2 linked regions of the Oryctolagus cuniculus genome follow. The protein of the gene in region 2 interacts with the protein of the main gene of each other region in a pairwise test. Links are inferred from orthologs where the notes say so. Each region holds a gene or a part of one and is shown on either strand. Other genes may lie near its edges.

Region 1 (4,565 bases), on a different chromosome or scaffold from region 2:
CACATTTGTTTCAGTATTAGCCTACAAAGTTTATAGATTTTTACTTAACAATAAATTAGTCTTAATATATATCACTGTACTCTGATTATCAGTATTTTTTCTTCCACTATCGTAAAATCAGCATCATAGAAACAGTAATGCTGGATTTCACCACAGAGGACCATCTCTGCCCCCCAAACGCTCCTACCTCTTCTCACTGATTCCTCAGGTTCCTATATCCATAGCATTGATTCAAACTATTATATTCTTGTGTTTGCCACTACCACACACTGCCTCCTAGGATAGCTTCTCACCTTTCTTAAGGTCTTCAGCATACTGCTTATAGCACTACTTACCTTTGTCTGGTATCCTGACATCATTTGTGCAAAATTTACATTAAAAATTCATGCTAAGTCATCTGGTCCCTTCCTATTACTACATCTTCCAGCTTATTGTCATCTTTATCTCCTTAGTTGTGCTGCTACTTAGGAATAATTCCATGTCAGCTAGTGAAATCTGTATCACAGAAAAGCTTTTATCATCAAAGCAAAAATCACTTGATTCTTCATCCTGTAGCAATAAGGACTGATGAGTTGATATTATTTTTCAGTTGGCTTAGAGTACTATCTCTCTGGACTACTTTCACAAATTATCACTTTAAATTAACTGTTTGAACTACCTGCCAGTAGTAATGCCACTTTAAAGAGTTCTCATACAAGCTGCTGAATTTCAGGCAAGTGTGCAGTGTAAGTCACCCTGTCACCAGTAAGCAGGACAATGCTATAGCGGACGGGCAGCTACATGCTAACCAATTTCCTGATCTCTTATATTAAGATGTTTCTGCTTAGAGTTGGGTCATGGTTTCATCAAGATTTTTAAAACGGGGCCAATATCCAACGTCCCATGTCCCTTCCCCTCAAAGCCAGAAGTAGTGACTGAGACAGCAATACAGCCTTTACATACTTGGGAAAAAGGCCCATTCTCCCAGCAATCACTTACATAATACTGTCTAGTAATCAACTCTTGAAAAGCAGAAGGGCACACCACTAAATAGTCATCTGGTTAATGGGAAAAAAAAAAGCCCCATTCCAAGTAACAGAATACAAATAATGTATCTTACCCTCTCTTAACAGACTCCAAAAACTGAGCATTTGTTGGGTCACTGTAAGGTCTCAATTCTCCATCATCTAAGCTGAAACCATTGCTCCACAGTTTAAGCAAAACCTGAACCTGTGAGATAAGGAGTAGGGGAGAAACCATTTCCATCAAACAAGGCTAAGTTTTCCAATGTGGTATCTCACAGAACATTACACTGCTACTTAGATTTAAAATAGGAATTTATCCCTATTGTGCTTTATTCAGTTTGCTTAGCAGACTAGCATTCAGTTTAACAAATGATAATGGCTGAAAATACCAAAGGTTCCACAGCTTGACCCTGACCTCGAAGCACAACTACCAGTAAAAGAAAACAGAAGACGGCACCCAGCTATGATCCCACTACTCCCACCCTTCCTCTTCTCTGCTACAGAGCTTAAATACTCATGATAAAGGGCAAGAGAAGTCCCAATGTGCTTCTACGAAAATTATAAATGCTGAAAATGAAACTATAATTCCAACATTTTAAAAGGCAACAGAAACAAAGAATGACTTTAGTGTCTATGTTTACAACCCAGCTCATTATACCAACTATAATCATTATCACAATATATGACACTTTTAAAAACAATTTTCTTTGAAAAACAGAGAGATTGGGACATACAGGGAGGGAGACTGAGTGAGCTACTATCTGGTGGCTCACTCCCAAATGCCCACAATGGCTGGGGAGACCAAAGTCAGGAGCTGAGAACCCAATCCACATCTCCTCCATGGGTTGCAGGAAGTCAACTATTTTAAACATCACCCTTGACTGCCAGGGTCTGCACTGGCAGGAAACTGGAATCAGAAGCCAGAGCCTGGTATGTAACCCAGGCACTCAAATGTGAGAAACAGGTATCCTAACCAGGGGCTTAGCCAGTAGGCCAGATACTTGGCCTGTAAGCCCATTTTGACAGTCACCTACACATTCTTTCAACAATCAGTTATGTACCTCTAAGTATAAGGCATGAATGAGATACATGATACAAAAATTTACACTGAGACCTTACACATTGATCCTTTGAATAAAGCTTCAAAAGTTAACAAAGAAATTTATATTCTTGGTTTTAAATTTCAAAATTAAAAGTAGTAACCAAAGGAAAATATCTATCAATTTTCATTTTGAGTACTATACCTACATCTTGCAGCTGATTTTCTCCATAGATGTATTCAGACCGCTTACAAAAGGAATTTCCCAACCTGTATCCTCCACCTGTAAAAGACTACAATAAAAGTAAGATAAAAATTGAGTTAAAGGTTTATTAAGTAAAGTGTAATTACAAATTGTGATGTACTATAAACTAGATAATCAAATTAAGATGAGCATTTATGCACTGGAATGGGTATTTTCAAGTGTAGCTAAGGTATTTTTAAGCTACCATTACAATGTTATGACAAGTCTTAGAGTAAAGGAAGAATTTTATCAATGAGTCTAAATGACCCTGAAGAAAAGCTATAAGCTTATTTTATAAGCTATTTGGATTCAACTGTAACAAGTCAGCTCTGATTAGACTTTTTATTTTGCTATACTAATCACAAGTTCTTCCATTCATCAGGTAGGGCGGATTCTAAGTAAAAATACTGTTCTTTCTAATCACTCCTAATATCCTCAATGATCTAATTGTCACATTTTTTTTTTTTGTCCATACAGACTAAATCATCAATTCTACATTTTTTTAAAATGGAAGCAGAGAGCTTGCAAGAACCAAAGTGACTTTAAGACTTGACTGAGGGGTTGGTGTTGTGGCATAGCGGGTTAAGCCACTGCCTGTAGTACCAGCACCCCATATGGGTGCTAGTTCGATTCCTGGCTGCTCTACTTCTGATCCAGCTCCCTGCTAATGCACCTGGGAAAGCAAGAGAAGATGGCCCAAGTGCCTGGTCCCCTGCCACCCATGTGCGAGATACAGATGAAGCTCTTGCTTCCTGGCATTGGTCTAGCCTAGCCCCTACAATTTGGGGAGTGAACCAGCAGATGGAAGATCTGTCTGTTTCTCCCTCTTTCTCTCTAACTTTGCCTTTCAAATAAATAAATAAATCTTAAAAAAAAAAAAAAAAGACTTGACTGAGAAAGCATTTCAAGCTGTTGACAGATAATAAAAACTAAAATTTGTTTCATCAGAATAGTTCTCCATATTGATATCAAAATCAATATGGAGAAGACATGCTTTTTCAGCAGACACTCATCTAGGAACACCTCCAACCTTCTAAGCCATCGTATGCGAGTTCATGTGGGAGTTTAGAAGACCTCACCGAGTGACTGTGATTGGAGAATTCCAGGCTGAGAATGCTGATTATGGGAATAAATAACAATTAGACATAAAGACACTTGAAGTCTTCAATACTCCAATACTGAGATGGCTGATAAAAAAGCTATATTAATGCTCAACAGAAATCTAATAAGGTACAAAAGCACTTTCACAAAGAATGGTGAACCTTTTCAACAAATACATTGGGGCAACTGGCTATCTATAAGCAAAAAAGGAAACAATATAAATCTCACATTTTACATAAAACTAACTCAAAATGAATCATGGGCTTAAGTGTAAAATGCAGACTATGTAACTTTTTTGGATAACATGGGCAAGAATGAGTGGTTCTAAGGTTTGGTGAAAGTTCTTAGACAATAACAGAAGCATGATCCACAAAAGAAAATAAAAACCTGAAAAACTGGACTGCATTAAAGTTTAAAACTTTTGCTCTGCAAAATTCCAATTAAGAGGATGAAAATATAAATTATAGTCTGAGAGTATCTGTAAACCATATCATTCGACAAAGGACCCATACTTATTAAAATATTTTAAAAACTCTCAAAACTCAATAATAACCAATGGGCAAAAGTCATAAAGAGATATTTCACTGAAAAGAGTAAAAAATATGGCAAACAAGCACATGAAATGATGTTCAACACCACTAACAATTAAGAAAATGCAAATTAACATTATCACTCATTGGGGAAATGCAAATTCAAACTACAGTATGTTATCACTATACAACTATCAACATGGCTAAATCAAAAATAGTGACAATGTCAAATGCTTATAGGATAAAGAGAAATAGTCTCTCATACACTGAGAATATAGAATGGTATTACCATTCTGGAACACAGTTTGGCAGGTTCTTTAAACTCAACACGGACTTACCATATGACTCAGTAACTGCACACCTGAGCATTTATGCTATAAAAACTAGAATTCATCTGTAGACAAACCTATGTATGATTGCTCACAGCAGTTTTATTTGTGATAATCAGCATCTAGAAACAGCTAGAATGGCCCTGAATAAATGAATGGTCAAACCTGTGGTACATCCATACCATAAATGCAACTTAGAGAAAGAACAGTCTTGATACATGGGATAACTTTGAAGTACCTTGAGGGCACTATGCCAGCTGAAAAAACTACTCCCAAAAGATTTACCTATTGCGTGATATCATTTTTATAACATTTTTA
Region 2 (4,565 bases):
CCCCAGTGCTGTCTTATTTAGAAATAGTTCATGTTTGTCTGCATGTTAAAAAGTTGTTTTCTTTGTTGTTAGAATTTTATCTATGTTTCTGTTGGTTTTTTTAGACTCAAATAAAATCTTCAGTTAATAGTTACTGCTCTCTTAAAAATAAAATATACAGCACCAATAACCAGAGATCCAGTTAGACCTACTGGGTCTAGATCTAAAAGTCTGAAGAGAGAGAGACTGATGTTTCAGAAGTGGTGTGGATGTCCCAGTGTTGCTAGGCTGAGCCTGATGATTTTGGCAGTGTTAATAAATAGGTTCTCCTTTGGAGTTAATTAAGGCTAAAACCAACTTGCATTAAAGATTATTCCAAAAGTGTTTTGGGACATTTTGAAGAGATAGAGAAGTTAATACAAGTATTCTAATCTATATGCCAAAAAATGCTCATATTAACTAAAATTTAGAGTGCTACACATTACCTTATTGTGTGATTCTGATATTAGGGATTATTGTAGTTAGTGAAGAGCATTCTGGTTCTGTAAACTTCACTTTTACCTCCTTTTTCCATTGTTCTCTTCTCCCTGGCTGGAGTAGACCATGTCTGGACTGAAGTCTATTCCGGCTCGCAGCAGCGGTGGCTGCACTGTGACGCATGTGAAGATGTCTGTGACAAGCCACTCCTGTATGAAGTAGGCTGGGGCAAGAAGCTGTCCTATGTACTAGCATTTTCTAAAGACGAGGTAGGGCAAAAGAAAATTTTCTTCTAAGAATAAATATAATGTTGACAGTTTTATTGTATTTACCTATAATATGCTGTATAAATTTAAAGTGTATAATTTAAGTCTTGTCATTTGTGTGCACCTGTGAAATTGTCACTGCAGTCAGTATTGTGTTGTATGGATGTACTATAGTTAGTTTCTGGTTCTGTGCTGAGTGTTATGAACATTCAGGCACACAAATCATATGGGCATACACTTTTCTCTGTCTGTATCATGCTTAGGAGTAGAATGACTGTATCATCCTGAAGTGTATAACTTTTTTTTAAGATGTATTTATTTGAGGCCAGCATTGTGGCAAAGCAAATAAAGCTGCCACCTGCAGTGCCAGCATCCCATGTGGGCACCAGTTTGAGTCCAGGCTGCTCCACTTCCAATCTGGCTCCCTGCTAATGGTCTGGGGAAAGCAGCAGAGGATGGCTCAAGTCCTTAGGCCCCTAACACTCACGTGGGAGACCTGGAAGAAGTTCCTGGCTCCTGTCTTCTGTCTGGTCCAGGCCCAGCTATTGCAACCATCTGGAGAGTGAACCAGCGATGTAAGATCTCTCTGTTTCTCCCTCTCTGTCACTCTGCCTTTCAATTAAATAAATCTTTCTTAACATTTTTTGTTCATCCCCCAGATGACCACAACAGCCAGGCTGGAGCCAGGAACCTGGAACTCCAACCTGTCCCTGACATGGGTGGCAAGGTCCCAAATACTTGGGCCATCTTCTGCTACTTCCCCATGTGCTTTAGCTGCATTGAAAGAGAAACAGCTGGGACTAAAATCTATGCTGCAACATGGGATGCAAGCAGTGACTTCACACACTGCACCACACTATCAACCCCTGTATAACTTTTTAAGAAGCTTCTTAAACTGCTTTTTCGTTAATTTCTTTATTATTTGAGAGACAGCCAGCTGTCATCCTTTGGTTCACTTTCCAAATGCCACAGCAGCCAGGCTGAAGCCAAGAGCCAGGAGCTCAACTCAGGAATCCAAAGTGGGCTGCAAAAACTCCACATGCCTGAAGTGTTACCTGCTTCATCCCAGGGTGCATTCCTGGGATCATGAGTGGAGCCAGTACCCAAATGCAGGTGCTCCAGTGTGGAATTCAGGCAGCCCAAGCAGTGATTTTCCATTACACTAAATTCTTGCCCCCCCCCCAAAATTTGTTCAGTCCTTTATCAAAATTGTGCTTTGCGAAAATTTTTCTCCCTCTATTGTTTATCTTTTCATGTACTTTATGAATGACTTTTGAAGAAAATACCAATGAATTCAATTCGTCAGTCTGTTCTTTTATAGATTATACTTTTTGATGTTGTATGGAGATTTGCCTAGCCCATGGCAACACTGATTTTGTCCTAAGTTTTCTTTTAGAACTTTTATCTATTTAGGTCTGTGTTCCATTTTGAGTTCATTTTTTATATGGTACAAGGTATGGATTGAAGATAATTTTCGACATATGAGTAATGAATTATTATAACAGCATTTGTTGAAAAGATCCTTTATTCCTTGAATTATCTTTGTACCTTGGTCAAAACTTAGTTTTTGTTTTTGTTTTTAAGATTTCACTTATTTATTTGAGAGGCAGACTTATAGACAGAGAGAGGGAGAGAGAGAGAGAGAGAGAAAGGGAGAAAGGAAGGTTTTCCATCCACTGGTTCACTCCCCAAAGAGCCGCAGTAGCTGGAGCTGGACCAATCTGAAGCCAAAATCCAGGTGCTTCTTCTGGGTCTCCCATGCGGGTGCACTTCCACTGCTTTCCCAGGCCATAGCAGAGAGCTGAATTGGAAGAGGAGCAGCTGAGACATGAACTGGCACCCATGTGGGACACCAGCATCTACACCATAGTGACAGCCCTGTAATTCAAATTTAATACAATAAAAAGCAGGTGAAGTTTTTGTCTGTTGAATTTTATCTGGAATAAGTTTTGTATATAAGTTAACCTAGTATTTTGAAAATTTCTTGTTTTAAAACATATTGTTTCTCGAAAGGGCACCTGTTGGAAAATGAATATAAAGTGTATTCTCGGTGGCAGGCACTTGACCTAACAGTTAAGATGCTGGCATCCCATAGTGGATCGTGTGAGTTCAATAGCCATCTCTAACTTCTGACTCCATCTTCCTGGTAATGTGAACTCTGGGCGGCTCACAGAACTTGTTCTCTACCACCCCCGCAGGAGATGTGGATTGAGTTCCTAGCTCCCTGCTTTAGCTCCTGGTCCCAGGCCGTCTCAGGCATTTGGGAAATGAATCAGTGGATTGGAGCTCACACTCATCCACTCTCTATTTGCCTTTCTGCCTCTCAAATGGATTAATAAATAAATGAATAAATATCATATTCTCTTTCACAAGTTTTAAAATTTTAAGCAAAACAGCATTTTTTAAGTTGTGTTTAAAATTATATACATTCCTGCTATTTAACAAATAATGATTGATGCCTATAATCTTATTAAATATTTGTATATGTAATTTGTTTCAGGTAGTCGATGTCACTTGGCGATATTCTTGTAAACATGCAGAGGTAATCTCCAGAAGAAATAAGATTAAAGAAGACTTACTTCGAGAAACTATCAATGGCCTTAATAAGCAGGTATATGATGGATAGTTGTCATTTGTGCTAGGACATTTGACATTTCTTAAGTAATTAAGAATATATAGTTTTCATCCCATTGACAGACTTAATTGTAGCATTATTTATAAGTGAGAATATATTAAGATGTTAAGTGTTCTTTTTTGTTTATTGAAAATTTTGAGGATTCTTTTTAAATATTATGGATTTCTAGATTAAATTGTCAAAACTCTTCTCAAATTTCAGTGAAACAAAATTTGAATATAATGTTACTCAACATAAAAATGTTGTTTATTAAAGTCTTTAATATATATGTACATATGTATGCACATACACCTGTCCATGTATGGAAATTTCTGTATCAAGATACAGGAATTTATTAACAAGGGTGACTTCTGAGAAGAGGAACTAGATGTCCAAGATGGAAAATTTTACTATCCATGTAGACTTTTTTCATAATTAAAAACTAGTTTTCCAGGGCCAGTGCCATGGTGCAGTGGATTGGTCCTCTGCCTGTGGTGCCGGCATCCCATATGGGCACCGGTTCTAGTCCCGGCTGCTCCTCTTCTGATCCCACTCTCAGCTGTGGCCTGGGAAGGCAGTGGAGGATGGCCCAAGTCCTTGGGCCCCTGCACCTGCGTGGGAGACCCGGAAGAGGCTTCTGGCTCCTGGCCATTGTGGCCATCTGGGGAGTGAACCAGCAGATGGAAGACCTCTCTCTCTCTGTCTCTTCCTCTCACTGTAACTCTACCTCTCAAATAAATAAAATCTTAAAACAAAACTAGTTTTCCTTTTGACAGGCAGTTAACATAAGGCAGACCACCTTAGTCCAATTAGTAGTTGAGGTTCAAGGTAAGGTTTCAGTCTGTCGTGAATTTGTTCTTTCTTCCAGCATAAACTCTTCTGAGATCCCATCCAGAAAATTTAGGTAATTTGACTTTCTCCTTTCCAATTTGTATACCTTTGATTTCTTTTTCTTGCTTAATGGCTCTGGCTAAAGCTTCTAAAACTATTATTGATGGCAGTGGTGAAAGTGGGCTTCCTTGTCTTGTTACAGATCTTAGTGGAAATGCTTCTAGCTTTTCCACATTCAACGTGATGCTAGCTGTGGATTTGTCGTATATCGCCCTGACTGTTTAAGGAATGTTCCTTCTGTACCCAATTTGCTTAAGGTGTTCATCATAAAGTGTTGTATTTTATCAAATGCTTTCTCTGTATCTATTGAGATAATCATATGGTTTTATCCTTCAGTT

Evidence for each region. The genes of interacting proteins can lie anywhere in the genome.
Region 1: the proteins of NGLY1 (region 2) and UBXN2B interact in binary tests that used the Homo sapiens proteins (3 or more experiments, as listed by UniProt). The two-hybrid records come from large-scale screens. The link is inferred for Oryctolagus cuniculus from reciprocal best matches to the Homo sapiens genes NGLY1 and UBXN2B.

The regions. Positions count from the first base shown.
Region 1 is NC_091437.1:83,595,747-83,600,311, reverse strand, and holds part of UBXN2B (UBX domain-containing protein 2B), read right to left. Parts: intron 2,337-4,565; coding exon 2,253-2,336; intron 1,210-2,252; coding exon 1,100-1,209; intron 1-1,099. UniProt on the Homo sapiens protein: Adapter protein required for Golgi and endoplasmic reticulum biogenesis. Involved in Golgi and endoplasmic reticulum maintenance during interphase and in their reassembly at the end of mitosis.
Region 2 is NC_091435.1:161,843,503-161,848,067, reverse strand, and holds part of NGLY1 (peptide-N(4)-(N-acetyl-beta-glucosaminyl)asparagine amidase), read left to right. Parts: intron 1-579; coding exon 580-725; intron 726-3,222; coding exon 3,223-3,333; intron 3,334-4,565. UniProt on the Homo sapiens protein: Specifically deglycosylates the denatured form of N-linked glycoproteins in the cytoplasm and assists their proteasome-mediated degradation. Cleaves the beta-aspartyl-glucosamine (GlcNAc) of the glycan and the amide side chain of Asn, converting Asn to Asp.